Linked DNA regions of Lytechinus pictus. The protein of the gene in region 2 interacts with the protein of the main gene of each other region in a pairwise test. Links are inferred from orthologs where the notes say so. Each region holds a gene or a part of one and is shown on either strand. Other genes may lie near its edges. The genes, in order: serine/threonine-protein kinase mos-like and myotubularin-related protein 9-like.

Region 1 (16,127 bases), on a different chromosome or scaffold from region 2:
TTTACACGTAATCATTCTTAATATTACTGTTATACCAAATTTCTCTCTTTCTCTCTCATAACACACTTGTATCTTAGTATTCACATTCCGCATGTTACACTGATAACACTTTGCTACCAAAGTAATTATATATGAAAAATAAATAGGATGACAAATGTTTAATAGAAAATGGTATTCGATTTAATAAATTCATTCGGGTAACAAAAACCAGCAATATACATAATAGAAACATACAAAACATTATAGAAGATTACATTTAACTACATATGAAATAGACAAACATGATAAGAAAGTACTACTTGTTTTTTCAGATTTATTTTAAAAAGAGTTAATAGGCCCGTTAATCATGTCTCGGAATATTTTGCCAAATTAGATTATATCCTTCATTTTAATCAAACGATGATATTCCAGTTTACGTATAAAAAATATTTTTCCCTAGATTGTTTTGACAATATTGCATTGGGAATTATAAATAGGCCATTGCCCAGGTAACTTACAATTATAAAATTATTATAATAATCAATTAATCATAACCATGATTTTGTTGACATATGAACAAGACAGGTGTTTGACCAGGGAATACTGACTGATCTGTTCTGATATCCGTATAGATCAGTGCCCGCAGGCCCCGTTTTCACAAAGAATTGCGAGTGATCAATACCTTCTATGGATAACCAATAAGCTTTATTTTTTTTCCGTCAGAAAATGCACTTTGCATTTGGAAACAATGAAATTGAAATATTGATTAGTTCTTGTTGCTTTTATATATGCACGGTTACCCTGTAAAATTATATTTTAAAAATGTATAATTAACGGTAATGATTGGTAATGGTGCTGTGCGTGCTATTGATAGTTTTGTTGATATGATCAAACGCAAAACTTTGCAAGGCGTGGCGCTGGAGTGAAGTATACAGACACCCCAAAATTGCAATTAACAATATTCAACTCGAAGGCACCGTTACCTCGTGAATATAGCACGTACCATTAAAAGTGTTTGTTAATACTAATAATTTTTTTGTCAGAACTGAGTTAATGAAATTGCAAATTTACAAAACACCCAAACCTTTTAGTTTTATACAATCATTTTTTTATTCAAAGCAGATCGATTTGTGTAGCCTTCGTACTCGCCCACGCAATGGTGCCTATTCTGTTTCATACAATATACTCCCACGCCCGGGTCCCACGCCTAGGCCTATTTTAACATGCCCTCTCCTTTCTTCAATTCATTATCGACAGACAAGCTACTCTCTGACAGTGTTTCTCTGAAAATACTCGAACCAGAACCCGATACTACCAGCAACGATCCGTTTTAGAGGTTACATGCATATTAAAGTCGCGTTTACATTATTTTGCATGTGTTCATTCTTTCGGTTCACGTGTATAGTATATGCACTGGGTGTGTCCATACAGATTGAATTTAATGTCTACTATGAACAAGGTATGAATAGCTGCTAAAAATGATATGGCATGGTCACAATCTCTACAATTACTAACGAACCATACAATCCATAATCATGGTGTCCAACATGACCTGAAACACAGGTTGAATAATGACACGAAGAAAATGGTATAGACAAGTAACGGACAATTTGTTTGTATTGACACACTGCAAAACACTGTACATTAATTAGAAAGAATCAAGTTAAATACCAGTTTGAATATGAAATACCGTGCTAACGTAAACAAACGAGTTTGTGATGAAAATACCGATTAGCCAGCGTTTTTGTTGCTGCTTATTTCAATTTTGTATTGGATTCAAGATTGTATTCAACATTACTTTCCGCATAGTCAATATCGGTCAGTGATATAGAAGTATCAATGATCAAAATAAAATATATTAACTGAACACTGAGAAATTGCAGTTAAGCAAGAATATCATTTATAGCTGATGTGAGGGAACAACTTCTTGTTTGACTGTGGTAGGCATAATAGCCTATAACTTTCAACAGAACTGATATTAAAAAGGGTATTTTTAATGGTTTTTAAGTTGAACCGGCGTGAACAAAAGAAACTCGTCGCTTAACACCATCACCCGCCATCCAACTCCCTATAATGACGGCAATTAAAACATGTCGTGTGAAGTCAACAAGTCTTTCTTTTAGATGTTAACGAATTCAGAGTTAATCTTTTCTTTAATAAAAAAAAAAGATAAAGTGTGCCAAAAGTGTAGTGGGAGTAAATTTTGATTAAACTTGGAACTGAAAAGAATATATATTCACTCTTTTTAGAATGACCCAATGATCAATCAAGCTGGACTGATGACTGAAGTCAAGAGTTGAAATTATAAACATTCACTCCCAATTGATATAAGTCCACAATTATTGAAACTTTGCTCCTTCAAGTGTGAACCTTTCAAGGATTTATTTTGAGTCGTAAAGTGGACCTGAGATAATTATGCCAGTATGAGCAACCGGGGAGTAAAAATTAAAACGTGAACTACGACAATGTTCGGTCAAGCGGGAGAGCCCATCCGAGATAAAACTTGAAGTTCATTAAGATCAAGTCTGAGAAATAATAAAAAAGAATGAGTTATGTGAATGTCAGACTTCTAGGTGCTTTCTCTTAATTATGTAATAGTTTATATGCCTCGCAAAAAGTTGCCAATTGATGAATTAGGATTCCTATTATACTTGTCCTATAAATTAACATCCAAACGACCATCTAACACTTCCAAATCTATACCTTCTTCCTCTAGCTATTCTCATGATTATGACGAGATTTGAACAAAGTTAAAACGAACATTTTCGTTCCCTACAAACTTAAACATTAGATCAACAATCATGACATGATTAACGGTTACAAAAATATGATCACAATGTATATTTTTTCCGATTTTTTCTTTCATTTCCTGTTTAAAAAGATATACACATATGGTATACAAACGACCGTGTAGGCGTCTTTGAAAACAACACTTCATGGTAAAAAGATATTTTGGAAATTAATAAAAAATAAATAAAAAATGATTGATTGCTTCACACGATATCATGCAAATCGAGAAATTGATTTGTTTACACAAGACCTTGGGAACTAGCTCAGTAACCCAAATTCAAGCAGAGCTGATATTTTCTTATCCCGATGGAAACTCGTTTTAAACTGTGCATAGTTACTTCTGGTATGTTGAATATCATTAATTTATAGTATTATATTTTAATTCATTTTCTTCGATAAGGGGTGGAATTTAGTGGAAATGATTCAAATATTGCATAGATTGACGTCATCCACTTAATCTGGCTATAGGCCTATTCAAAAGTTCAAATAAATATGATAAAGTGATTTGCAATGAAAAGCTCGATTGATACAAAAAAATATTTTTACTAAGCATAAAAAGGTAAGTAGGATTGATTTGGGGAGAATTAGATTTTAATAGAAGAATAAGCAGTCAGGTGCCCGAGTGGAATACCATTTGGATCACAATGCACAAAATGTTATCTGCGGAAGAGCCAATCATTGCGTCTGCAAATTTGAAAACATAACTAAGCAACCGATAGCCCATATATGGAAGACGATAAATTACCATTAACAAATACTCGAGAGATATTGTCTTTTAGTAGGGTAGGAAGACTGCATTCATATTGCTTAGACTGGAATTGTGTTTGAACTGTTTCAATTATATCACGATTTTTCCGATTGATATAGACTGTTGATATAGTCATTCTCGTGGGTCCCTGCCCAACATGTATGAAAAGTATCTACCATGCAGTTAAATCATGAATATGTAAAAATTACAAGATGACAATATTGCACTCCAAACCTTGCATGAGTGGATCGAATTCCTTTGATAATTCAATGATCACCCCTTGAGGATATTGAATTCTACGAGAGACAGTTCGTATCATTCCTCACTATCACCATTGATTGGAACACATACTCATTACAAATTGATCAAACTAACCTAATTATGACGTCATAACTTTATTCATCTTCATCAAATCCATGAAATAGATACACCCGGACTGGTTACCCCCGGACTTGCCTTTTATGTACCAAGTAATTTTTGTATGATGTCATGGATCTATGCAGATCTCAAGCCACATGCTTTAGTCATCATAAAGTTGCCATAAAGATCGACGATAACAATAACTCCATAGGGAGTATTTCAACACTGGCAGTCAATTAAAATACAATATCAAAATTATTACAGAAGGATTTAAAATAAAACAACGTGTAATATTGTTAAATACAAATTAAGTTAACAAAATCAGACTATTAATCATGATTATGGAGACCTTATTATGTCATCAAAGTACAATGTGACACATAAATTGCAATAACTGAGCTTACATTATTTGTATAAAAAAGCTGACCTCGAGGTCAGAATGGTCTACAATCATTGTACAACAAATTATATTTTGCAGAACCAACTCGAGGTTGACGGCATCGATGAGATCAATGGAATGTCATCCAACGTGACTGCCACTGGCCAAAGAGGGCAGGTCAATGATGTCAGGTGCGAAATGAAATCTTGCTCTGAAATTCCCAAACTTCAACCATCAATTAGCTAACAGTGATAGTCAGCAGTTAGATGGGAGTTCGGTCGTCGGCACGGTCGTTCAAGCGACGTCATCGACACCGAGTCGCATTTCCAGCTCTCTCATGATCTCCCTTGCAGTCGGTCGGTCTTCGGGTTGTTTCGGCCAAGCCTTCGTGATAAGACGGCGATACCAGTCGTTTTCTATCTCGTTCTCGTTGTCGGGTAACTTTGGTCGCTTGTCCTTGGCGACGACCCCGAAGATGACAACATGATGATTCTCCCCTGCGTACGGCGTCTCTCGCGTTAACATCTGCCAAAGTGTGATCCCAAACGAATAGATATCGGCTTTGGTCGTAGGCGCGTCACCGCACAACAGCTCCGGCGCACGATATCCGCAGGTACCGGTTAGGTAGGATCGATTTGTAGGGCTTCTGAGACCTTTGCCATTCGAGCCAAAGACTTGTTGAGAACAGCCATAATCACATAGGCGACAAACATCATAATCGTCGACAATGACATTCGCTGGCTTGACGTCCAAGTGAGCAATGTTATGTGCGTGGGTATATTGCAAGGCACGGATAATGTGAAGAGCGAAATTCGAACGGCGTGCCAGCGGCAACCTCTCTGATGTTTCGTTGATCAGTTGTTGAAGGTTCCGCTTCCCCGCGTACTCCATGATGATAAAAGCACCAGCGTCGAAGTCTTCGACGGCACTTGTGGCTAGCACGTTGACGATGTTCTCGTGCTTTAAGTACAGGGCATTGACTTCCGCGCGAAAGCTCTGAAGCATCGCTTCGGCATTTGTCCTTCGTGGGCGCAGTACCTTGACGGCCACTCGTTGACCGCAGTACTTCCCGACAAACACTGATCCAAACCCGCCACTGCCAATCAAACCTTCCACATGAAAGTCGTCCGTAAGAAGATCCCGTGGCCTCACTGACACAGTATCATTGTTGTTATCCGTGACACAGTGGTATGTTGTCCTTGACGCATGCTGGTGCGTTATGATCCTAAACTTTGAATTCATGAGTGACTCCTCCATCTGAAATTCACTGTCTCCTTTAAGAATAAAAGCACTCTGTAGTCCCACTGATTTTTTCCTCTTGTTGGAATTGTGACAATATACCTCTGCTGAGTGATATTCTCTTGTCTTAATCACACAGTCAGTGTGTCTCCTTCGTTTGAGATGAAACGTTTCTGAATCACAATCTCTGGGCGCTAAAAGGTTTTCAGTGGATATTGTCCTCTTCGAGCGTTGCAGGTATGCCTGATATATCCGCAGAAAGGCGAAATGCCGAGACAAAAGCCTCAGAATAACTTCGAATATTTTCGTCATTGTTCTTTTCAGCTGTGACTTCCAATAACTCGAATAGAAAGGCACAGCAATGCGCTGGCAATTGTCATGTCAATCGAGTGAGAGTGAAAATGGTAATTGATTGTTAAGAAAATCTCGGCATTTTGCGAGGCAAATGTATATGCTTCTGATGTGCATAACGATGTAAGCAGCGACAGGTGCATGAAGTGGTCTAGACTTTTATTGATTTATTTCAGCCTACCCTGGGCAACCAGGTGTTATTTTGTTCAAAAGGGAGCGCTTGATATTCCCATCATTGCAGTATTGTAAATTTGAAAATAAAAGTCATGTTAAAAATACCACAGTCATTGAAAGAAAGAGATACCGCAATCTGCAATTATGACCTTTGAAATATCAATTTGAAGATTAATTTAGGAGTGTTTCATGACTTCGCTGATATTTCTGTGTCATACTCATCTAACTGTCAGGGTATGCATGGTATGCTAGCTAATAACGCATCTGTGACATCCAAGATATAAGAAGTCCGTGTTTCCTTTCACATAGAGGCAGCAGTAACAATGATAAGATTAATATTTTTCAATTAGGAATGCGATGCCAGAAAAGGGATGTTATCCAGTGTGAATTACAGAAAAAGTTCCAGAAATGACGACAGTCATTTATGATGACAGTGTCGAATGTACGATTAGGACATAAATTCCATAGAATAGGATCAGTTTGTCAAGATAGTACTCAACTCGAGGAGTTCGGTCTCGAAAATCCATTTGCAAATTTCCTGTCAATCAAAAGTTCTCATTGCATTTAAACGATTTGTCAGCGGCCCATGTATAATTTCGCAAATTAAAATGAATGATGCTTAACCATGGGATGTTAAAATGAATAAATTACATTTGAAATGATCAGTGTTTCCCGAGTAAACATGGAACCACTATTATATGATCATTAGGTCAAATGGGCAGTAGGCACGGGGAACCACTCTGAGTACATCCATTTCAATGTAATAAAAGTGATGAAGAAGATATATTATCCAAGTTCGTCCATATTCGACTGGTAGAGAGACAAATCCGGCAAATACTCTGCATTGCTTTTATTCACAGAGGGAAAATATTACTCGTCACCAAAGAATAAGGATCTTGAAGACATCTTTGCTAATCATTGTTGCGTCACCTCGTTGATATTATGATCATTGTGTCTATGGTATCTCTGAAGAACTCAAGTGGCTCTGGAGGAATCTTCTGAAACTTGATCCTGGTTGAGTCTTCACAGTAAAGTTAGATCCGTCACAGATTTGCCTCATTGCAACCTCCAAAGTATTTCCACCAGCCAGGATTGCAGTAAAGCAAACACACTTTAAGCGGCTAGATATGGTTAATATTACGAGTATACAATTGTGGTACACCCATAACATGAAATGTAAAGTAAAGGACACTCTGTAGAATGGTCTGTAGACTGGTAGAGTAGATCTCGGTACTTGAGGCAAGCCAATGACATTTTCAAGTTAATACCGGCAAAGCACACCCATACCCGTCAACCGACAGGCGTCGAATAGCAAGGGAGGCACGTTGGTAGTATAATGTGTATGCATTTTTATTATTTTTCTTACTGTATTACATTTCAGAATTGCTTTTCCCTGTGTATCAGTAATTGTGTTAGATGAGTAAAGACCATATGACAGGCAATACCAGCATATTTCATAGCGCACAAGGGATCGATTACCTATTATATATAGAGATTACAAGATAAAGGTGCGTATACTGTCGCTATCCGGGTAATATTTTTTTCTTACCATATTTAAGTTCACAGAATAATGACAAAAGACATGAAGAACGGGTCAAGAAAAGTGGTCTTTAATTCAACAATAATGACAATGGTTGTTCAGTTGACCCTAATTATGATGGCACATTAAATCTTTTTTTATCATTGGTAGTGCTAAATCGAGTAAAATGATGGAAAAAAATATTTGAAAAGATGAAAGAAATGAGGGGAAAAAAGAAACTCAAGAGCAAAAGAGCGAAGCGACCGAGCTTGTCATGGAGCGGCTTTTGCATTTTAAAAAGTGAAATTGGAGGATTTCGTGCATACTTTTGGTGAATTGTGTAATTTTTTTTAAATTTAAAAATGCAAATTTTCAAAGTGCCATTGAAATTTCGAAACTACGAGGGGGCCCAAAATGTTGTTTGCAAAGCCATATATGCAGTAGAGGGGGGGGGGGGGGTGTTGATCCTCCCTACGCTGCGTATGGCCATGGCATTGCAAACGAACATTAAATTTTAGGTAACCTTGTTAACCTTTTCAAAATATTCAATGTCACCGCTCCTCCCCCCCAAAAAAAAAATCATGGTCAAGGCTAGCCGAAAATAAATGGATAATAGGGAAATCCATAATGAAATAGAAGGGAGATCGGGATGGTGAGAAAAAAAAGAAAGAGAGAGAGAGAGGGGGGGGGGTGAGTAAGAAGTATAGAGGCAAATATTATTATACAGCTATATGCATACGTTAAAAAGGATATAAAGGGGAAGCAAGTACGATTTCTTTTCTTCTTCCCATTCTTCTTTTGCTTTCTCTCTTTTCCCCATTTTCTCCTTTTCTTCTTCGTCTTCTCCACCACTTTTCTTTCTTTCTTTCTCTCTTTTTTATTCTTTCATTTTCTTTCGCTTCTTCTTCATTTTCTTCTTCTTCTTTCTTCTTTCTTCTTCCTTTTGCTTTTTACTCCCCCTCGACTTCCGTCCTTTCTTTCGTTGTCTCTTTCTCTTCCTCATTATCTCCTTCTTATTCAATGTCATTCATCTTTTTCTTTCTTTCTTTATTCCTTTCTTTCTTTTTTTCCTTTCTCTTCTTCATGATCTACTCCTTTTCTTCTGTTTTTATGGGTTTTTTCCTCCTTTTCTTTTTCTTCTCTTTCCCCTTCTTCTCTATATTCTTCCTGATTTTTGCAGATAAACATTATTCACAAATACCATTTATCATCTGAGCCCACAGGCAGAGGATATACTTCCAATAGCCTAGGCTGGGGACCATTTCATGAAAGTTAAAGTTGTCAGCACTGAGAAGTCAGTGCTGTCAACTTTCATAAAACGCCACACGGAATGTTAATTTTCGATTAAAGATGAATACTGAATATTCTTCCTTCTATAATTCAACAGAAAGTAATTGATTGTTGATCTTCTTTTCACCACAAGTCCATTAAGAGTACATAAAAAAACTTATTCAATCGCATAGGCGGATCCAGCTTTTGGCGAAAGGGGGGGGGGGCGCACTACCGAGCGGCGCACATATTTTTGCACTTCACCGGCGCCATTAAAGAAAATGTTGAAAAAGGGGTAAAGTTTGACCCTGTCAAATGCTCTTTTCAAAATGTAGGATTTCCAGTCATGCCATTTTGCATGACCACACGCAGATAATATTTCCGGGGGGGGGGGGGGCAAGACTCGAAAATTTGGTGCACATCTCACATTTGCAAATTTTTCATAGTTTTCATGAAATGTTAAGGAATTTTTTTTTTCACAACAGCAGATCGCGAATGTGCCCCCCTTCCCCCTTGCTGCGTACGACCATTCCCTGAAGTCCACTTCATATCTCATTATAACAGAAAATATACATCAATTTAAACATATAATCTTTCTAAATCATATATAGATAGAGATTGAAAAACTTATTAAAGAAAGAAACAAGCAAAAAGTAACACAAAATTATGCATGTTATGTGCGATTTCAAAATCTCGTGTATTAACCTTTTTTTTTTACTATATGTATATATACATGTATATATATACACAGGGGCGTCGATCCTTTTTTAAGATTAGGGGGGCAAAATCATGAATCAACTTTCCAAAGGCGCTCGATATCACACAAAACAAACAAACTCACACAAACACACACACACATATGCATATATATATATATTTATATGACTCATGAGATAGAAACACATATCTCACCAACAAATTAATGCGAGCGCGAAGCGCGAGCTGACATTTTTTAGTATATTGACCTGAAAACAGGAAAAAGGTGCCTGTTTAGGACTGTTTGTAGTAACTCATGAGGAGGATACATATCTCACTACACATGCAGATAATGCGAGTGCCGAGGGCGAGCTGAAATTTCTTTATATTCTGACCAGAAAGCTTGATATTCTATGCATTTTTGGTACCAATGATTAAGATGGGTATCTAAAAGAAACAATAGATGTTAAAATTTTGATATTTCGATCTGAAAAAAATGACAGTCTAATGGACGTTTGTAATAAAGAACAAGATTATATCCAGCAAAAGATTATTGCAAATCGAAGCGGGAGTTCTTTTGACGTTTAGTCCTGAAAATGAGACATTCTATTTACCTATTTAATCATGAAAAGTATGGGGTTTTGCTACAGAAATGATGCGAGCGCGAAGCGCGAGCTGAAAATTTTTATATTCCAATCTGAGAAGCGGATAATTTAAGGACGATTTTAAATAAAGAACGAGTTGTGTAGCTCTATCTCAATATACGACTGGTTGCGTAATTATACACTTCCGGTACTAGCAACGGGTTTTAGCAAAGTTTTGGGCTAAAATATCGAATCATCTTCATAAAACACTATATCGAAGCTGTCTTAAACTAAAGGCCCATAGAGGTGGCACAATGTGGAATGTGTAAAGAAGAAAAGTGACTGACCTTCTTTTTATTAAAGCATTGGAAAATAAGATAAAAATTAAAGGATTTTGCACTACGCTTTTGTATGATTCTGGGATTTTTTAAATAAATTAAAGATTTCATGACATCTGTCATTCTGTGGGCAACTGCCCCGCCCCAGTCCACTCTGTAAGGGCATGCGATAAGCTTTGTTATGACCATTCAACAATAAAATGTATAACCAGCTAGGTGCCGCTGATCATTCTTGACCGGCGCCGATCTAGATTTGGTTGGCAATAGGCCCTTCTTCTTTATTCTACCGGCGCCTATTTATTGGAACCAGGGGACGCTGATTATTCTTGACTGGTGCCGATTTTACCGACGTCACGTAAGATTCAGGCAACGGCAATTCATAATTGACTGGCGCCGATTTAGAACCAGGAGGCGCCGATTATTCTTGACTGGTGCCGATTTTTAACCAGGTGGTGCTGATTATTCTTGTCCGGCGCCGATTTAGATTTAGGTGGCGCTGATTATCCTTGATCGGCGCCGGTTAAGAACTCAGGCAGCGTCGATTTTTCTGTACCGGCGCCGATTTATAACCAGATGGCGCCGATTATTTTTATCTGATGCCGATTTAGATTTGGGTGGCGCAGATTATCCTTGATCGGCGCCGGTTAAGACTCTGGCAGTGCCGATTTTTCTCGACTGGCGCCGATTTATAACCAAATGGCGCTGATTATTCTTGTCCGGCGCCGATTTAGATTAAGGTGGCGCTGATTATTCTTGATTGGCGCCAGTTATATGCAGGCAGCGCACTGCTGATTATTTTTGACCGGCGAAGTTGTTGGGAAAAGGGTAGTTAAAAGAAAAGATAAGGAAGATATTATTGTGCTTTGCTGGGGGATAGTCTTTCCTTACTGTTACTAATACTATATCAGTGTAAAATTTTTTTAAGCGGCGCCTTTTCTTTTCTTTCTTTTATTTTTATTTTTTTCAAGCAGCGCCTTTTCTTTCTTTTACTTTTTATTTTTCGGCGCCGCTCAAATATTAGGGGGGGGGGCGCGCGCCCCCTGCGCCACCCCCCTGGATCCGCCACTGAATCGACTGGAGAAAAACAAACAAGCAAACGCACAAACAAACAAACGAACAAACAAACGAATTCTACACTCTCATGACAGCCGATTCATTTTTATGAATAGAACAGCTATTCAATATTTTCTTAATCCGAAACTCGTCATTCTGAATAGATTACAAGTCATCTTAAAGAGATTATATTCACGCTGACATACAAAGTTCCAAGGATTTTGAATAGATCGGGGAATCAAATGACGTCACAAATTATCGTCAGTTTCATTGGTGGAAAGTAGTGGTGACGTACGATCGAACAAATATAAAATATAGGCGTACTCTCTCAAATTCTGGATGATTGATAACGCTGCCGGGCGGAGGTCAACATTTTCTGGTAAGAAATCGAATTTAATCTTCTTTGTTTTATAAGATCCGTTTACAGTTTTCAAAGAAATTGGATCATTAACTAATTTAGCATTTGCGCAGCGTAAATACCCCTCCAATTTCACTGCAATTTTACGCCTCAAAATCAAATCAATTAGATCTACCCGATCACAGAGCGCAGACGATGTAACAGTTAGGCCTACCCTAACCCAGGGAGCTCCCGCCCGCGCAGCGGGCGGGAGCCCAGGGGCTTACCGTGTATTTGACCATAGTCACCGGACTAGGGTGATTTATGGTCTAAGTATTTCTCCAAATGAATTGTGAAAACAGAAAGTATACAATTACCACGATTATATGGATGAAGGTCTAACGAGTGGCAGTTTCCTGACATCTGGGCACAGACTGGAACCTCAAAAAAAAGAAAAATTCTCTCCTTCTACCCAGTCTCGATCGGCCGATCGAGACAGGGGTAGAAGGAGACTAGAGAACTTTTCGTTTTTTTGAGGTTCCAGTCTGTGCCCAGCTCCCTGGGTTAGGCCTACCCTACCTGTTAAATATGTCTGATTCAGATCAATCAAGACAAGACTTAAACTTTCAAGTGGCGAATGTGAGTGTGTTGATATTTATTTCTGTTGACTTACAAGTGATTTTCATTTTGAGGTAGGCCTAGATCTAAGATAGATCTGAAATTATTAGCTCTGAGCTAGTGAGTTTGAGTGGTCCTATCGTGCAGTTCCATGACTTCAGTCCCACCTGTGGTAATTGGTGTATGTTGATTATGGTGGGTCATCGACAAGCAAAACTCTGCGCTTGTGCGGTTTCGCACCTCATGTGAGCTGACTAAATAAGCCGCTGCTATGCTACTGTGAGTGTGAGGTTTCTGTCAGGCCGGGTGCGAAACCGCAGTAGCGCCCAAAACTCGTCAAAAAATCAAACTTAAGTCTAAACGGTGAATTTTCGTTCCAACTAACGTTACATTTCTTGGTATCATTGTAATGTTTTAGGGGTCTAATTTATATAATGTTTCTAACTTCAGTCTTGGGTTGAGTAATGACTAATGTGCCTCACTCAAACATGGTTTTCTGAAAAACTTAGGAAAATTTGACAGCAAGTAGTTAGAAGATATCGTACTTTCTTGGATCATTGAAGATAAAACTTTCGTGCCTGGTAAATTACAAAATCTTTTAACTTGCTTAATTTTGCTGTCAAATTTTCCTATTTCAGAAAACTCTGTTGGGGGGGGGGGGGCACATTACTCAACCCAAGAAAAGACTTTCACTGCGCCGAGTCTCCACAGCCCGAACGCTATGCGTTCGGGCTGGCGCAGTTATATAACAACCTATAATTTAGATTTTTATGAGCTGGGATATGGGGTTTATTAATTTTATTTGGTTATGTTATTTTCTACGATTTTATCATTTGTACACCCTATAGATCTAGCTAGTTGCGTCTTTGAGTGTGAGACATCAAAAACAAACATAGGTAGGTTTATATATATATAATAGTGAAAAGTAACATTTTTTTTTTTGGGGGGGGGGGCGTTTAGAGACCTTACGAATAAAGACTTATTTCAACTTCGTCCATTTGCTAACGCTACGCGTTCGGGCCGGTGCGGTTAGGTTTACGCCAGAAATATTATGTAGAATTTCTGTGAGAAATTAGCCTACCTTCTGTACATTTTTTTTTCTTTTAACTTTGTCATGATCTCAGACTACTGTACTGTACTCAGAATTTCTGTAAATCCTAGATTGTTGAACTTTTTTTTGTACAGTAAATCTAGATTAATTTCGCTTTCTTATTCTATTGCAGATCACGGACGATTTTGTAACACAAAAAATGAAAGAATGTGACCTTGAAAGATTCAGTCAGAAATTTGAAGGTAACTATACATCTTATGTAGCATGTAAAATCCATACATGTGTAGAATCAAGGACCCAAGGCTTGTAATAAATACTATTGATTGTGTCACATCTTCAGGTCATATCACATAGATACATGTACATGGGTATTTCCACAGTAAAAGGGGTCTTTTCAGGAATCAGGTTATTTTAATTTACTGTATGTTTCCATTGTGCAATACCCCCCCCCCCCATACAATATTTTAGAACACTTCAATGAGAGATAACTTTGCTCAAAAATTGCTTCAAACAGGCAATCAATTAGAATTTTTGACAAGATGATTTTTTTTTTTTTGGGGGGGGACGTATGTAACGCTGGACAGAAATCTGTGTACAAACATGAAGGTCAAAATATAAATGTTCAATAAAAACTTGCCTTTTTTCAACTGAATGGCCTGATATTGATTAGAAGAGATAAATAACATCAGCCCTAAATTCTATTGAATACTGGGTTTTATGCCATTTATAGACATAGTGGTGAACGTACGTAACGTGGACAGAAAATGCGACATTTGTGGATCGAATCATCCAACTACATGTACTTCCTCAGTTTTTGATCAGTGTGCATGACAATTGGCACACACATTGATCTTGGGTGAAGATGTACAAGACACATTTTTTTAATGTGTTGGAAACTGTACGCATATCATTTCAATAAATCAGGTAAAATCTTGCGATTGAACTACTTCCTCAGTTTTTCACCATATGCTCATGAGATTTGGCACACTTATTGGTCTTGGGGTGAAGATAGGCAAAACAGAGTTTTTGAATGGGTCAGAAACTGTGTTGCCATGGTTATGGCATATGAAAATTCCAGTAAGTAAGGGACGTGATGGGCAGGGGTATTAATCACATTCAGTGATATGTCTAATTTATTATGTTGTAACAGCTCTTGCATTGGAAAATAAAAAAAGTGGAAATTACTAAGCCTTTTCTGCAAAACAGTTGATAATTAGAGTTGTACTGTGTCATTTTCTAAAGATTGTGTTATACAAATGTGTATTTCCACCACTTAATTTGCAGATAAAGAAGTAGACCAAGTTGGACTGTTCCTTTTCAATGACACAAGCGCTAAAGAGGTCATCGCCCAGTGGGACCAAGGCTGAAGTTTTTATCAAAACTGAAAGAGCTTCAGGTATGTATGTGCACATAACTATATTAATTTTAGTTAAATTAGATGATCAGTCATTCAGCTGGCTTTGGCACAGTTACATTCTGTAGGAAGGCTTGTTATAAATGGTAGAGTCTTGTGCTCATTGTGTTTGCATTAGAACATAATGGGCAGCTTTTTCCAGTACTAACCCTACAGTGTCTTTCAGAAAATAATTTTGAACAGCTGTTCACTTGCTATCAGTTTATGTCCAACATTCTACAAAGTAAGACTTGCAATATGATTGATGGTAAAAAAAATATTTTTCATATCAGTTGAGGTGATCTACATCTCAAAAATTTGTGACATTTTCAGCATAGAATTTACGAAAATGACAAACTGGCAATTTCATGGGCCCAGCCGACGCTGCTAGTACCGGAGAGCAGGTAAATGTCTTGTGCTGCAGCCAAGGGCCTCTGCACCGTTTCCCTCATTCCCTGTGCAGTTTTTGTAGCTCCAAAACCCCTACATTTTGTGCTTGTTGGCTCTTAAGACCCTCTAAAATTACATTTCAAGGCCTTTGTAGCTCCAAAGACCCTATATTTTGTGCTTGTATTTTTGTGTGCATTCTTACACTTGCATACTATGAATCAGATTATGATAGTAATGAACATGATAGACATTCAGGTTTGATGAATGAAATTTTTTGTATTTTTCCCCATCTAATTTCAGATGCAGAGAAATGTAACCTGTCCTTTTTGGTTCTTCCCTTCCTATTTCCACCTGGCCAAATCAGAGGAAGTAAGTCTTCCAAAAGCAGATATGATTGTGCAACTGTTCAGGAAGCAAGTGCTTCATTCATACAACGAAGAGAAGTGAGTATTGCTTTCTATACTGTACAAGGTAGCCCGGAAAAAGTGGCAGTCGATTTTCGATATCTTGGCATGTTAGAAATTCCTTTTTATTGGACTTATATTAGTTCGTGTATTTCATGCTAAAGAAATGACACCTGCTTGTAACTTCCCTGATATGCCATGCATTAAAAAAAATGACACTGTTTCCCTAAATACTAAAATTATGTATTGATAGAAATCATCTCATAAAATCTAAACGTCTTAATTGAGTTTTCATCTTATTGGCAGTAAAACTTGAATGCAAATGTTTTAGCCATTAAACTTTTAAAGTCTTATTTCTGTCAGTGTAAATTTGTAATTTACTATTGTTTTCTTTTCTTTCTTTTTTGTGTGCTTTTGTTATTGCAGATTGGAACAAACATCCCACAATTCCTGGA
Region 2 (16,199 bases):
TCTATTTTACTTATTGTTCAGGCAGTTCAGTTTGTACTTCACTTCTGCCTCTTTAATCACAGACAGTAGTGACATTCCATCTACAATGGAGGGGATTAAGTTCCTTAGGTTCTTCTTTTGTGTATCATTGATTGTATTTCTTTTGAATATTAACCATGTATTCACTCTGCCTTCTGATGCCAGAGTTACCTATTCATGTTCTGTTATTCCTGTATACAGGCATCTGAAGTACTGTAGTAGGCCTATTGCTTACTATAGCAATACAAGTGCCTGTTTTCAGTTAGCCATTTTACTATCAGGTGATATTCATATGAATCCAGGCCCACGCTATGATGTTGATTCATTTAAATTTAATGAATATTGTAACAGTTCACAGTCAGATCGTATTCAATATGATGTTCTTACTCTCCATCAGTTAGATAGGAAGCCTTCTCATCATCTTCCTCTGACTGTTTGGAAAAGGATTTGTGACCTTGGTATCCGCCGACATGGTCCTACTCATCGCGGACACAGGCGTATGGTCTCAAGGCCGCATCCCCTTCCTTCGAGGCCTACTGGTACTCGTTTAGGTTTATGGAATGCACGATCCTTGACAAACAAGATTGATGTAGTGACTTCTTTGATCATAGATAATGATATTGATGTATTAGTTATCACTGAGTCTTGGTTTTCAGGTGATCACAGAGATGACCCTACTATTGCGCAGTTGAAATTGTCCCTTCCAAATTACAACATTATCAATCGTCCCAGGAAGACTAGGGGAGGAGGTATATGTGTCCTCTACAGGTCCACAGCACGCTGTGTTGTAAATGAAACCTTCAATTGTTCCTCATTTGAATTTTTGGATCTAACCGTCCATCTTACCCCATCATCTCCTGTTAAACTGTATTGCATTTACCGCCCACCCCAATCCTCCCGGCACACTTTTTCAAGTGGTGATTTTCTTGAAGAGTTTCTCACTCTTCTGGAAAGTTTCTCACTCTTCTGGAAAGTGCTGCTGTGGATGTTCATCCTCCTATTCTTCTTGGTGACTTTAATATTCACGTGGATGATTCTTCAGACAATTTTGCTAGATCTTTTCTTAATGGAGTGGAAGCCCTTGGATTCAAACAACACATCAACGGGCCTACACACAAGGCTGGTCATACACTCGACCTTATCCTTAGTAGAAATTCGGAAGATATTATCTCCCAGCATAGCATTTTACCATCTCTGCCATCTGATCACTCTGCTATTATATGTATTATTAATCTCAAAGGGCCCCAAAACCCCAAGAAGAAAGTGACTTTCAGGAAACTTTCTAACATTGACCCTAAATCTTTTAGTCTGGATGTTAAAGATGTCTTAGATTCCATTCAATTTCCCTCTTGCCCATCTGAGGCTGCTTATCTGTATAACGACTGTCTTGGTAAACTGATGGACAAGCACGCCCCTCTGCAGACTGTGACTGTTACAGTTAGACCAAAAGCTCCCTGGTTCTCTGCTGAAATTAGGGAGGCACGGCGACTGAGGCGACGCGCAGAACGTCGAATGATGAAGTCTGGCCTGCAGGTTGATAAGACATTATATCGTCAAGAATGCGAAACTTACTACAATCTCCTCACTGATGCCAAATCAAAATACTTTAGATCTGAAATCGCTAACGCCGACTCCAAACAGCTATTTAGTATTGTACAGAAACTCACCACCCCCTCTCAGTCCTCCATTTATCCTGAACACTCATCTGCTTCTGATCTCGCCAACAAATTCAGTGAATTCTTTAGCAAGAGGATCAGTGATATTGTGTCCTCTTTTGCACCTGACGTTCCTAGTGATCAACAACATCCTGTGGGCTCTTTGAATTGCAAACTGAGTGAGTTTACTCCAGTGACTGAAGTTCAACTTCGCCATCTCATCAAGTCATTACCACCGAAGTTCTGCAGTCTTGATCCTCTTCCAACTTGGTTGCTCAAAGACTGTATTGATGAACTTCTACCGCTTCTCATAAACATTATCAATTCATCACTCACAACAGGTGTTGTCCCTGAATCATTCAAATCATCACTAGTTCTTCCTCTGTTGAAAAAGCCCAATCTTGATCCGAATGACTTTGGCAATTATCGCCCTATCGCCAACCTGCCATTTGTTAGCAAGGTTTTGGAGAGAATCGTCGCATCCCAGCTCATGTGCTATGTGGACAGTCATCATTTACTTCCTGAGAAGCAGTCAGCATATCGCAACTTTCATTCAACAGAAACGGCTCTCTTGAAAGTACTCAACGATCTACTGCTTACCGTCGACAAGGGTAACGAAGCTGCACTCCTTCTACTGGACTATTCTGCGGCGTTTGACACTTTAGACCACTCAGTGTTGCTCCAGCGTCTTGCACATGACTACTCCATTACCGGAACGGCTCAAAATTGGATTGAGTCATACCTGCAAGATCGTACTCAGCGGGTGATTATCAATGGAACTTTCTCAGCACCTTTCGCTTTGAGCTGCGGAGTCCCCCAAGGTTCTGTTGTGGGCCCTCTCCTATTTCTTCTGTACACTGGTCCTCTTGCAAAAATTATCACTAGCCATCGGGGTGTGAGTTATGCCATGTATGCAGATGACACGCAAATCTACGTATCCATGGCATCCGACCAGAAGACATATGCTGTTAATCTACTGAGTGACTGCCTCAAGGACATCAAGGTCTGGTCAGCGAAGAACAGACTCCGTCTCAACGAAGCCAAATCAGAACTGGTACATCTTTCTTCGCAATTTAGAGCTACGGAGCCTCTGCCAGACTTCAATATGGGAGAGGGCATACTTAAGATGTCTGACTCTGTCAAAGACCTTGGTGTCACTTTAGACAAGCACCTTACCCTCCAGCCACATATCAGGAACATCTGCAAATCAGCATCATGGGGTTTATTTAGGATTGGTAAGGTCAGGCGACTACTCGACCAAGCCTCTACTGAAAAACTCATTCATGCCTTCGTCTCATCCCATCTAGACTATTGCAACTCCCTCTTTGCCGGCCTCCCAATTTCTTCCATCTCTCCCCTCCAGCGAATCCTCAACACTGCAGCGAGAATGGTAACCTTGAGCAAGAAACACGAACACATCACCCCTATTCTCCGATCACTTCATTGGCTTCCGGTTCACTCTCGCATAACGTTCAAAATTCTACTCATTGTATACAAAATTACCCATAATATGTCACCCAAATATCTCCAAGACCTTATTTCCCTTCGTTCTTCCTCATCTGTCAGATCCTTACGTTCATCATATTCCAATAATTTAATTCATGGCCCTCGCACTAAGACCCGATATGGTGATCGTGCATTTTCTGTAATTGCTCCCACCCTCTGGAATAAACTCCCAATTCATATCCAAAATGCTCCCTCCGTAGAAATTTTCAAATCGTCACTTAAAGCTCACCTTTTCTCATAACTTAACTTTTTTTTTTTTTTTTTTTTTTTTTTTTTTTTTTTTTTTTTTTTTTTTTTGACCGATTGACTGTATACTATTATAATCTGCCAACCTGTGCGCTTTGAAACACCAGTATAAAGCGCCCTACAAATGTTATTATTATTATTATTATTATTATTTGGGAGCCGTATGAGCTGAATATGATATCTCTACCGTTAGTGATTTATGTAACAATTGGCTGTCCATACTTAAACCACAACTTTAAACCCGACTTCAGAATACGGGCCAGAGGATCCAGATCGAAGACAAGATATGAAAGTGAAAAATGCAGAATGTACGGAAGAAGGGACTTGAAGGCAGTGAACAAAGTAAAGAGGATAAAAGAGAAGAGGCAAGGGGAATGTCCTACGGGAAAGAATTATTGGAGGAATAAGAGTGTGTGAATAAGCAGGTAAAACTGGGCCCCGTCTTACAAAGAGTTACGATTGATCCAATCAATCGTAACTCTATGGAAATCCATCAGTGTCATAATTTTTTCTACAGGAAATTTGCAAAATGTCCTTTGTAAACAAAGGAGATCATACCAAATTGTCAAGATATCAATGAATTTATGGATATACATTCATATCTATAATTTTTTTTTGAACAAACATGCATTTTATATGTTGACTTTGCTGGCTTTCCATAGTTGCGATTGATCGGATCAATTGCAACTCTTTGTAAGACGGGGCCCTGGTCTATCCCCAATAACAAGTAACACTACTTCACATTCAAGCATTCAAGGAATTTCTCCCTAATAGGCACCCATTAATACACCTGGGTGGAGAGTGGCAAACACCTTGCCAAAGGACGGGAGTGCTGCATTGAAATCGAACCCCGGACCTTCTTGTTCAAAGTCTGGAGAGTTATCCACTGAGCTACAACACCTCATTAGTGCTGCGGCAGTGATTTGAACAATTGATACAGAGAAAAAACCCTCTCAAAACTAATTCCGCATAATACATAGCAAGCGTTGTAAGCACTTTCTTCTTCACAAACAAGCACAGAAGAAATTATCATGGATAATGTTTTATAGATGTGATTCTATTCTATACGTCTGGACAAAAAGACATCAAGTTTGCCTTAAAAATAAGTATACATGTAATTTGATTTTTTTTTTAAAGGTCTTCAGGCTGAAAAAAATACTGCAAAACAATTGTTAATTTCATGTACATGTACATTACAATAAAGTAAGTACTTTAAAATATACAAACAATATATAGAAATCACCTACCTATTTTTCCCCAAAAAAAACCAAAGCACTACATAATGTTGCAATAACCCCCCACCCCAACCCCAACAAACAAACATAGGCATGATGTCAAAATAACAACAGATACTCACTAAATGTAGGCTCCATTGCTACAGTTTATTATTTAAGAACGTTTATAAGATCTTCTTCGAATTTAACACAATCCAAAAACAACATCTGGAAACAGTGTTAGTCTGACATTAAACACAGTGTCTTTGATCAAAAGCAGGAAAGAGTGCACAGCAATTATACAAACAATGCATAACGCTGGCCAAGCTGTCATCTAGAAAGATAATAATTCCAGACCCAAGTAAAATATGAAGGTGCTGAAAACAAGCTCTTGTAAACTAATGAAGAGGAGGAGGCACTAGAAATAGAAAGTATCAGGAACAATCATGGGTGATTGATGCTACAATCATTGTCTGTATACTATTCGGGCCGTGACTGGGTCTATTTCTAGCAAGGATTTGTGATGACTAGAAATGTTGGTTAATTTCTCGCTTCCTGGGGGCAAAGAAACAGACTGGAAGAGGGAGAGAGGAAAATCATTGTTAGCTATTTATGACTAACGCCTCCACATGGATAGAAAACCCCATCACCACAGGGTAATAGTAACTAATATTACATTGTACCTCCAAAAAAAAAATTCTACATGAAACGGGCAAGGGAGGGAGATCATCAATGTAAGCCAAAATGACTAAACGCTATTTATAACTAATGCCTCCGTAGATATATACATGTATGTAGACACCCTATTGTCACAGGGTATTATATTACTGTACAATACTAAAAATAAATAATAGAAAAATACACTGAAAGTGAAAGTGAATACATAGGCTACAGTATGTAAATATTACTGGCATATTTCTCATTTAATTTGGATTTTCCTGGCAGTGGGGGTAATTGTGTTTTTGCTCTCAAAGGTTGCAGATTTGCAGATGACTTGCTAATGCTGAATTCAAGGAATCACAATAAAAAGGCGCTTTGCCTTTTACTTTAATATTCTTATAATGTAAAAATCAATATTGATGTTTCCTCAAAAATACACTACTGCTGTACAATACACCAATTAGTCTGATCATAGATGACTGAAGACTCAGTTTAAATTTAATTTTGTCTTTGTATTTGAAATTTGAAATGTCACTGAATCTCACTCCTACAATGCACCTACCCCCCCCCCCCCTGAAAAAAAATAAAAAAATTTAATAAAAAGAACAAATCAAATCAAAATACAAACAGGGCAATTCCAGATAATATGTACATCCGACCCCCAATGGGACCTTCATGAAGTTTTCTGTCTCTGATTTTTTGTTCTTTTGATAGTCTGTAATTTCTCAAAGGACCATGACTTGGGCAGTTTATAAAGTGAAGAAAGACTAAAAAAAATGGGAGTCCAACATACAAAATTAAGGTTGATAATATATGGAATTGCTCGATAGCTCTGAAATCTATGCCACAGATCATTGTTCATTATTAATCTTAATTACAAAAAAAAGACTAAAACCCTTTTTGCATGTGTTGTGTACCATGTATTCACAGAGTTATCAGTGGCATACAGATGGGGGGGGGGAGGGGCTCTTGCCCCTCTCCCCAATTTTTTTCATGATCAAGAAAACAAAGAGAAAAGGAAAGAAAAGAAAAAAAGAGAAGGATGAAATGTGATATTTTCTGAATATCACAAAATTTAATTTTTGCAATCAAAATATTAAAATTTTTGCTAGCTTGCTTTGCTCGCTCCCAACTTTTTATAAATTTGGTGCGATACGTCATATCTAGCCCCCTCAAAACTTTTGGCTCATCACACCACTGCAAGTTCTTATGTCATCTGATATTCTGACGAAAAGGAACTTCATGCACACAATTAAATGTTGGCATACTTAATGTCATGCCTCGTGTGACATTTATTATGTAGCATGAATGCACTGTAGGCCCCTGTACACTATGGAGCCTACATGTAATATTCATTCAATAAAAGTTGACGACCGTGTCATATAATTACCCAGTATGAATTTCCTATCTGGCATCGAATCCCATGCATCACACGACATGTGACATTAAACCTCCCTAAGGATGAAACAACAGGTGATCCAACAATATGGATGGATGGATGGATGAGTATGGATGCATTTTATCGATTCAAGAACAAAACTTGTTCAATAAGGGAGAAAAGGCAAAAGCAAACAATCATAAAAAAACAATAATGATAACTACATGTATACATATGAAATCCATCAAAATCAAAGAAAATATATCAATCCTTAACAAAATGAGATCAGGTGAAGATGAAATTTCTTAATTCTCATCACAGACAAGGTAGCTTCTTCAGGCTGCTAAACATAAATATTGAGACCACATAAAACAAACTGAGATAAAATTTTTACAAAAATCCTTATTCGACTGACCTTTTTCATTGTCCATTCCTAACCATATTGCACAAACATCCCATATTTTGACCGTCAAACACGGTCTCCTCTACGATAAAAAGATAGAATCCCTATAATTCAAGAAGGAGGCTTGATGTTAATGTGTGCACAGTCTGCAAGACAAGCCTCCCGAGGGCAGTGTGTTTAGACGGTTTACTCATGGTGCAGCAGATCATGTTTACAGGGAGTGTTCAGACAGCTGGCAATTATAGATTTATGTACATACACGCAAGTGATGATTAATTTTAATCATCTTCATTTGTCTTCATTCCAACAGTGTAGTTCAGAATAAACTCCCAACTCCCTGCTGGTTACATTTACATACATGTACATGTGTCAATATGTCTAAAGCACCTGTGGAAAGGTGATTGTGTTCAGACAGTGTCATAGAGGTTGAGAGATGATGATTAAATCAGTTTCAACAGTTCATCCATGTAATGAGCTAATTGTACGAGAAGAGGTCGAGAGATGATAATCAAAAATGTTTAGACAGTTTACACATGGAATTAAAATCTTTAAGTGAGAATCTCAATTTGGGTGATTTATAAAAATGGGTAGGGCACATGCATTGACAAAAAAATCTACAAATGTGATTTGTACATGTATGTTGGATGTACAAAGTTACCAGTGACCTTATTTTTTTCTTTGAATCTGTGGATTACATGGGGGAAATTGAAATCTAGAATCAAAGAAAATGTACAGTCTTTATCAGTAAAGTTTCTGGCTTCTTTTCAACTATACAGTGCATGGATGCATTTTACTCAGGGTTGTTGATTTTTTTTTTTTTTTTTTTTTAAATAAAAAAAAATCAGATTTTTTTTTTATTTAAATCGGATTTTTATGATTTAAATCAGATTTTTTTTTTTTTTTTCCAACGAAAAATAATGGTCACACTTAACAAGTTTTAAACTATATTTAAACTGTTTTACACCAATAATAGTGGTCAAGTAGTCTTTTGAACATTGTGTATTGTACTATTTGACACAATAATCCACTTTATTATATACAGGTTATTTTTTATTTTTTTTACTTTTTTGGAGTGCTTCTCTAAATGATAACACTTTAAAGCATTTTTTGCTCTGTTTCATTTCTATATTCCCATAGACATGTTAGCATACACGTGAGAACATGCAACTCAGATTTTTAAAACTGAACACAATGTTAACCAATGCCTTTAAGTCATTGTAAAGCTTTATCATATAAGACTTGTTTCCACAGAAATAGGGTTTGCAACTCTAGAGCTACATCTGGTATACAAAGCATTCGCAAGTCACAACTGTACGTTAACATCTAATTTGAATGTAATATTTAACCAGATTTGCAATAGGCACTTCCTGATATGCTTGTAACAAAATACACATTTTATGTTTTCATTACAGTGTAACCTCAGTTCCAAATAATACTTCAATAAATTTCGTTGCAAGATGCAGGATAAGCACCACTGTCCACCACATCATTGATGTGCTGTTTTTTTTTCAAACTATTACATGAACAAGCAAGCACAGCAGTTGTATTGCTGCATACAGTAACACTTGCCAAGCAACTTTCCCATTTTTAAATTCTTACTTATTAAGTATACATGTGTACTTTGAAATTGTGTAATTGAATGTATGGGTATTGATAAGAAAATACACAAGCATGCAAATATACATGTAATTCTTATCAAATGTACACATATGCCTTCAACTTATTATTGAAAGAATGGGTATTAATAGTAACAAGAAGGAGGTACATACAAGTAGTTCAGCTGTTTTGTAAAAGTATCCAAGTTGTGGACTTTGACCACCTTTGTAGATTTTATATATTATTTTATTGAAGATTAAATTTTTTGGTGTACATACAGAGAGTTATTTATCATTACTTCGTTAGAAACTTGTTGTTTTCATCAGTTTTGCTTGTTTTACAATTTGAAAATAAAACAGTGGTGTTAAATCAGACTCCATGAGGGTGTATCATTCTTTTAAAGTATCTCTAAAGCATGTGGAACAGAAATGAAAATGATTACATTGAAAGTATCTGTTTCATATATATATATACAATAGAGAAAAAAAATTTTCATAAAAGTTGATTTTAATCAGTGATTGTTTTGAAAAAAAATCAACTGATTTAAATCGCGATTTAAATCATGATTTAAATCGACATGATTTAAATCAAACAACCCTGTTACTTGAAGAGGGGCTGGGAGTATAGCAAAGTTTCACAATTATTTGTAGATAAATGTATAAATTACACTCTTTCTTAAAGATTAACCAGTCGTTTTAATTGCTGTGATAACATTGATGGAATAAGTTATCCTTGTAGGCTATGGAGGGAAAATAATCCCTTTTTTATTTAGCCCCCGCCCCCTATGATCTCGGCCGTCAATCACGCGATCACGACAAAAATTGGCACGCGGGTAACCCATGACATACATGTAATCTACAAAACTATATGATCAAATTCCCCATAACACTCTTCCATCTTCCACAGAACAAGTACCGATACTCAATCCATCAAATCATTTTAAAAATAAACAAAAAAAACACAGAAAAGAATCAATGGATCCAGACATGAAACAGAGCCAACAATAGAATGATCATCAATGAGCCAGAGAAATACACCATGTTCCAGGGTGAAAGGTCAAAATAAATCATTCATTGTACCTAAAGGATGAGTCAAAATCAATATAAAGGATAAAATCAATATTAACGTCTTTCTCCAACATAGCATTCAAATGATTGCATGTAGACAGACATACTGTAGAGGCCGTTCTCATTACGCTTTCTAAAACTAGTTTACTTGAAACCGATTCAGGAAACCACTTTGGAAGATCGCTTTGCTAGCGTTCCCACTTGATCACACGAAAGTGGTTTTCAAAATCACTTCACGTAAAGCGCTGTTGTTGCTATGGAAACGCTCTCAGTGGGGTGACAAGTTTCGCGCGAAATTCGAAACCGCAGCATGCATGTAGGCATTCTACACCTGTCGTGTGGAGTAGCGTGCTCCAAATGTGCGAAGATTGCTTCCCGAAGAACGGTTGTGTCCTCACTTACGCTATTAAAAAAACCAGTTTAACGAGGCAAAGCAATCTTGAAAACTACATCGCGAGGTGGTTTTCCAAACTGGTTTGGAAGATCGCTTCCAAGACCGCTTCGACCGTTCTCACTACGCGTTAAACTAGTTTCCACTAAACTAGTTTCCAGTAAACTAGTTTTAGGAACGTAGTGAGAACAGCCTCATACATGCACTGATCATGGCCTTCATTATTCTAGCACTGGGGAAAATAGTTCTCAAGTGCTTTCTGTGTTTTTCCCCCTCCCGTACTTCCTATTCAAAACTCTTATTATTATTTTACAGTATTATCTCCATCATTTTGTTTTAAATATAAAATATTATTCATTCAAAAATAGGAATCTTCCTTTTAATGTATTCAAGGTTGTAAGTGACTGAGCATTTGATTTCTCAGGGAAAGTTCATTCATTTCTATAAAAGTCTTTGAAAGTTTATTCTTTCATTTTCAATTGATGATTCAACAAAATAAGACAAAAAATTATTCATAGAATGCATAAATTATTTAAAAGTTTTGGTTAGAATTATATATACACATTTTCCTTTAAAAATTACAACTGATAGTGACATTTGTAGTTTGATTGGGTCGAAGAAAACATGGTCCTCATACATGTATACTGGCCAGTGTTTACGCATTGGAATAAAAAAGAAATTTCAGATTTATTTCCAACAGAAATGACATAAATATTGATACAAATCATTTTCATACATTTATAACAAATATTTACGATACAAATCATTGTCATTAGAATTATATCCAAAAACATCAATGATAATTAACATACAATATATAAAATATGGTGCATTTTGTAGACAAATTATAATATATAATCTAAATAGCAAAAATGGTATCTGTGGAAATGGGAGATTCACTCAAAAGCATAGCTTGTATAATGTGAACCTCCCTCAAGGAAGAGAAATTATGGGTTGGTCTGAACATGTAATGGTATATCAGCAGCAGCTATTTTTATTATAATTTAATCAACATATTACAGCACTGATCTGAACAGAAACATCTTTTACACTCGTTACACAGGACTGGTCTGAACACCTACCTGTACCTATATTATCAGCTGTTGCTTACACATTATATTCAAATCAATATCATTTTCACTAAAAAATAACACTGGTCTGAACACGTCTTTCTGCTAATTATACAGCATCAGCTGTAGCATACAATTATGTATGCAGGGCAGTAGGGCACTTGTCTGAACATTGCTTATATCATCGTCCTGTATTTTTATTTTAAAAATCAATCTTTAAAACGTACCTACATGTACATATACATGTACGTACATGTACACTGCTTGTCACTGAACAGGATCTAGGTTTAAACACATCCCTATTGCCACAGCATCAGCTTGTGTTTACACACTGATATTAAATCAATGTTCTTTCCCTTAAGTACACATGTCACAGCTGGCTCTCTCTCATTATTATTTAGGGCTTAATAATCAATCAAAAATACCTAATGCTGCAGTCACATTTCCTCTATGGCGGCCGTACGGCAAGTAAAAAATGCCCCCCCCCCCTTGACAGTTTGATAAAGTGGTCAACGTTAGATGTTTGAATATGAGCATCTTTAAAGGTCAAGTCCACCCCAGAAAATTGTTGATTTGAATCGATAGAGAAAAATCAAACAAACATAACGCTGCAAATTTCATCGAAATCGGATGTAAAATAAGAAAGTTATGACATTTTAAAGAGAAATTCCAGTATTTGCAGTAAACACTGATTTCATGAGAAAGTCTGTAAAACAAGGCTTAATTGTCAGTATATCATCGAGGATCTAGATCTGGTACAGTTACATAAACTGAACTTTGTGAAATCTTGAAATCTACGCTGAAAAATGTTCACACTGAAGATCACCAACACAGATAGGCACACGTGGGACAGTGTATTATTATTGCTAAAATAAAGACCCGACGGAAGTGACCGAATCCGCGCTTATTTTGCTTATTTCTCAGCAATTACACAATTTCTTCCAGAATCCTTTGGCACATATTTTTTATTCATACAAACAGACACTTAGGTGGTCATTATATTAGATTCTGTAAAAAGTCATTTTTAGATCGTTACCAAAACTGGAATTTATCTTTAAGTTTCGCTTATTTTTCACAAAACAGTTAAATGCACAAATCAGTGATATGCAAATGAGAGAGTCGATTATGTCCATCACTCACTATTTCTTTTGTTTTTTATTGTTTGAATAATACAATATTTCAATTTTTACAGATTTGACAAGAAGGACCAACTTAACTTAACCATAAACTGTTAAAACAATGGCTAAAATGGTTCAAACATGTTCAGGGAGAAATGAAACTTCGTTTCACTTGACAAGGAGGAGAAAATTAGAATATTTCATATAATAAAATACAAAAGAAATAGTGAGTGGGTGACGTCATCAGTCTGCCATAACTTTCTTATTTTACATCCGATTTTTATGAAATTTTCAGAGTTTTGCTTGTTGGATTTTCTCCTTTTTTTTCAAATCAACTTTTTGTTGGGGTGGACTTGTCCTTTAATAGGTCTCCTCTTTATAATAGAGTAACCTGCTCGAAATTTTCATCAATTATCGAATATATTTTAATTGCAATGTTTATAATTATTTTCACCTGTTACCTCAATATTTCATAAAATCTTCAAATGTACCGCCATGTTTAGCGGCCTACATGTAGTCCCACCACCATCCGACAGCCTCTGCCCTTCATTAGACATAGCATATTGCACATTCAACAGTTAATGTGTGCTAGAGCTGCTAAATTGTGCCCAATCACAAAATTCCAATTGAAACCCATTGAACACTCACTGAATTTTCAAGTGGCTTTAATATGGATCCTACCGATTTAAAATTTGGATTCAATTTGTCTCAACTTTAAAGGACAAGTCCACCCTAACAAAACCTTGATTTGAATAAAAACAGAAAAATCTAACAAGCATAACACTGAACATTTCATCAAAATCGGATGTAAAATAAGAAAGTTATGACATTTTAAAGTTTCGCTTAATTTCACAAAACAGTTATATGCACATCCTGGTCGGTATGCAAATGAGAAGACTGATGATGTCATCCACTCACTATTTCTTTTGTATTTCGTTATGTGAAATATGAAATATTCTAATTTGCTCCTCAGTGTCAAGTGAAACAATGATATATTCCTCCCTGAACATGTGGAATTAGCATTGTTTAATATTATATAGTTCAGTCAACTTGGTCCGTATTGTCAAATTTGTAAAAAATGAAATATTGTATAATTCAAACAATGAAAAACAAAATGAATAGTGAGTGATGGACATCATTGACTGTCTCATTTGCATGTCACTGAGTTTTGCATATCACTGTTTTGTGAAAAATAAGCGAAACTTTAAAATGTCATAACTTTCTTATTTTACATCAAATTTTGATGAAAATTTCAGCGTTATGCTAGTTTGATTTTTCTCTATTTATTCAAATCAACATTTTTCTGGGGTGGACTTGACCTTTAATAGTAGGCACTTCAGGTGAAAATTAGGAAAGGCTGTTCCAGCATGTTTTATATGCTTACAATGAGGCTCAATATCTGCAATTCACAAAACTGATTGAATTTTCAAATTCTGACTTCTAGAAGTCGAGTTATTGTCATCTTTGTGATACAGAAACATGGCTTTTTGTGGACAAAAGACGATTGCGTAATCTTATTACTCTCTTTGTTTTGGGCATGGCACACAACAGAGCTTAAGGGGAATGCACATGTATGCTTTTCATTTAATTTTTTAAAAGCTTTTTGTGCAATGATTTTGATGTATTAATGGTCTACCTAGTCAATGTTCATCAAGGTTATACTTGTCTATAACCTATTAATATTCATAATTACTAATTAATTATTAATCAAGACAAAAGACATACATGTAATTAAGAAATATGGCCTTTTAATGTACTTTATCAAATTTAATGGGCGAATGAAGAAAATGGGGGCTTAAAAGTAGGGGAGACCGGGGTTAGTTGGAACGCGGGGTAAGTTGAAACATTGTAATTTTCTTCAACGTCTTTAAATAAATTTCTGCAATACTGCCCTCAATTTATTGTCATTATCAACAGCCATCCACCATATTACAGACAAAACATGTGCAACAAGCCTGGAGAAGTTAGAAAGGAATTTTTGTTTTTTGACCTTCAGAGTAATTTTTTTCTCTTTCAGAAATGTTTTATTATTTCAGAGAAGTTTATTAATCAAGTTGGCCAGTTTGGGGGTATGACAGACACTTGTACCAAGCTTCAAAATGAGGTTATTAATAAGCCATGGTGAAGTCCCTTTTTTGTGCTGTAAGCTTATGAACGTCAAATGGGCCTCCGGGGTTAGTTGGAACAAAATTGAAGGGGCTAGTTACCCCAAACATAATTATGAATAAAAATATATGAAGTATTTCACACTCTTCTGAACATGTATTGTATACCATGCTTGTTTTGTTTATCAGTTAGGTCTGAGTGCGCATTTAAGGCTTACTGTAGGCCCCTAAAGAGGCCCTAATGCAATATTTTAACCCTAATCAAATGGGGGGGATCAATTTGAGCCCCCCCCCCCTCGAGAAATTTGGTCACTACGCTGTTGCGTGAAATTTTTTGACTACACTGTTCGATGACTTTTTACTTTCAAGTCTTGCGCATCATTTGAGACCAAATTTGCGATGCCTGTATGTGCGGTTTCGAAATTACGCAACATTTTGTACGTGCATGTCGGACCCAAAATTGCTCAAAAACGTGATTCGATATACAAGGTCAATGCAAATTGTGTTTTTCAACCAAAAGTCATAAATGTATGATTATTTTTTACTTTTGTTGGTTCAAATTGATTTATTTTACGCTATTTATGATCGCAAAAGAGTCCCGACAAAGTTCATCGGAAAAAACAAAGGTTCGAAAAAACAAAGAAATACAAATAAAAAAAGAAATTAAATAAATAATTTTTGTTGGATATTTGTTATGTGAAAATTGATACTCTCACCAAAAATTAGCATTCTACTAGTTTAATAAATAGAGTTTTAGGCAAAAACATTAAAAAAAAAACAAATTTAGGGCAAATTTCATATGCTTATTTGCATAATTAATTAATGAAAAAAATATAAACAATTAATTTTTGTCTTGTAAATTTGATGCAGAATTACATGAAATTGTTATCTCCTTCTACCCCCGTCTCGATCGGCCATTTTTGTTAAAAATCGTAACAAAATGGCCGATCGAGACTGGGTAGAAGGAGAGAACTTTTCGTTTTTTTGAGGTTCCAGTCTGTGCCCAGATGTCAGGAAACTACCACTCGTTAGACCTTCATCCATATAATCGTGGTAATTGTATACTTTCTGTTTTCACAATTCATTTGGAGAAATATTTAGACCATAATAAATCACCCTAGTCCGGTGACTATGGTCAAATACATGGTAAGCCCCTGGGCTCCCGCCGGCTGTGCGGGCGGGAGCTCACTGGGTTACACAATAGCGAACTGTCTGTGTATCAGGAAAAATTTAAAAAAAAAATTTAATGTTAAAAAACTCCTCAAAACAGACGGCTGCCAGATGTCTAAGCGGAAATAGATTCATTACCTTTCAGTATTTAGTTTCATAGGGACATTTTTTTAATCGAAAAATTTGCGCAATCCTACTCCTAGCTATGGCTATGCAAAGTGTAGACAGCTGGCCAGTGTCATAGGATTTTTGGCCCGGGTACCGGCGGTCCAAAACGGCTAGTTGATTAGTACCGCCAGTACAAAACAACTAGTCGATCAGGCCCCCCGGATCCAAATGACTGGTTGAAATTTTTGCCGAAACGACAGGAGAGCCGCCGTTTGGTTCCGTATTCGTCAGAATGTAGTAAATGTAGTAAATATATTCTATAAATATCTGCTTTGGTGAAATGTTTCAATATATATATTGGTGTGATTTTTAATGTAATTTCATCCCAATTATTTATATAATTCGGTCTTTAACTAAAAATGTTGGTACATCTAGATAAGAGGTATTTCAGCCTCGTACGTTAGGTACCGGTACCTTTTTTTGCGCACGTGCAG

The links.
Region 1: the proteins of myotubularin-related protein 9-like (region 2) and serine/threonine-protein kinase mos-like interact in binary tests that used the Homo sapiens proteins (3 or more experiments, as listed by UniProt). The link is inferred for Lytechinus pictus from reciprocal best matches to the Homo sapiens genes MTMR9 and MOS.

The regions. Positions count from the first base shown.
Region 1 is NC_087261.1:11,518,890-11,535,016, forward strand, and holds serine/threonine-protein kinase mos-like, read right to left. Parts: upstream 7,295-16,127; 5' UTR 5,808-7,294; coding exon 4,551-5,807; 3' UTR 323-4,550; downstream 1-322. Other genes in the region: uncharacterized protein LOC129268848, read left to right, coding at 14,806-14,881, 15,569-15,711, 16,099-16,127.
Region 2 is NC_087253.1:7,991,654-8,007,852, reverse strand, and holds the start of myotubularin-related protein 9-like, read right to left. Parts: upstream 7,124-16,199; 5' UTR 7,109-7,123; coding exon 7,093-7,108; intron 5,143-7,092; exon of another isoform or gene 4,799-5,142; coding exon of another isoform or gene 4,783-4,798; intron 1-4,782. UniProt on the Homo sapiens protein: Acts as an adapter for myotubularin-related phosphatases. Increases lipid phosphatase MTMR6 catalytic activity, specifically towards phosphatidylinositol 3,5-bisphosphate and MTMR6 binding affinity for phosphorylated phosphatidylinositols.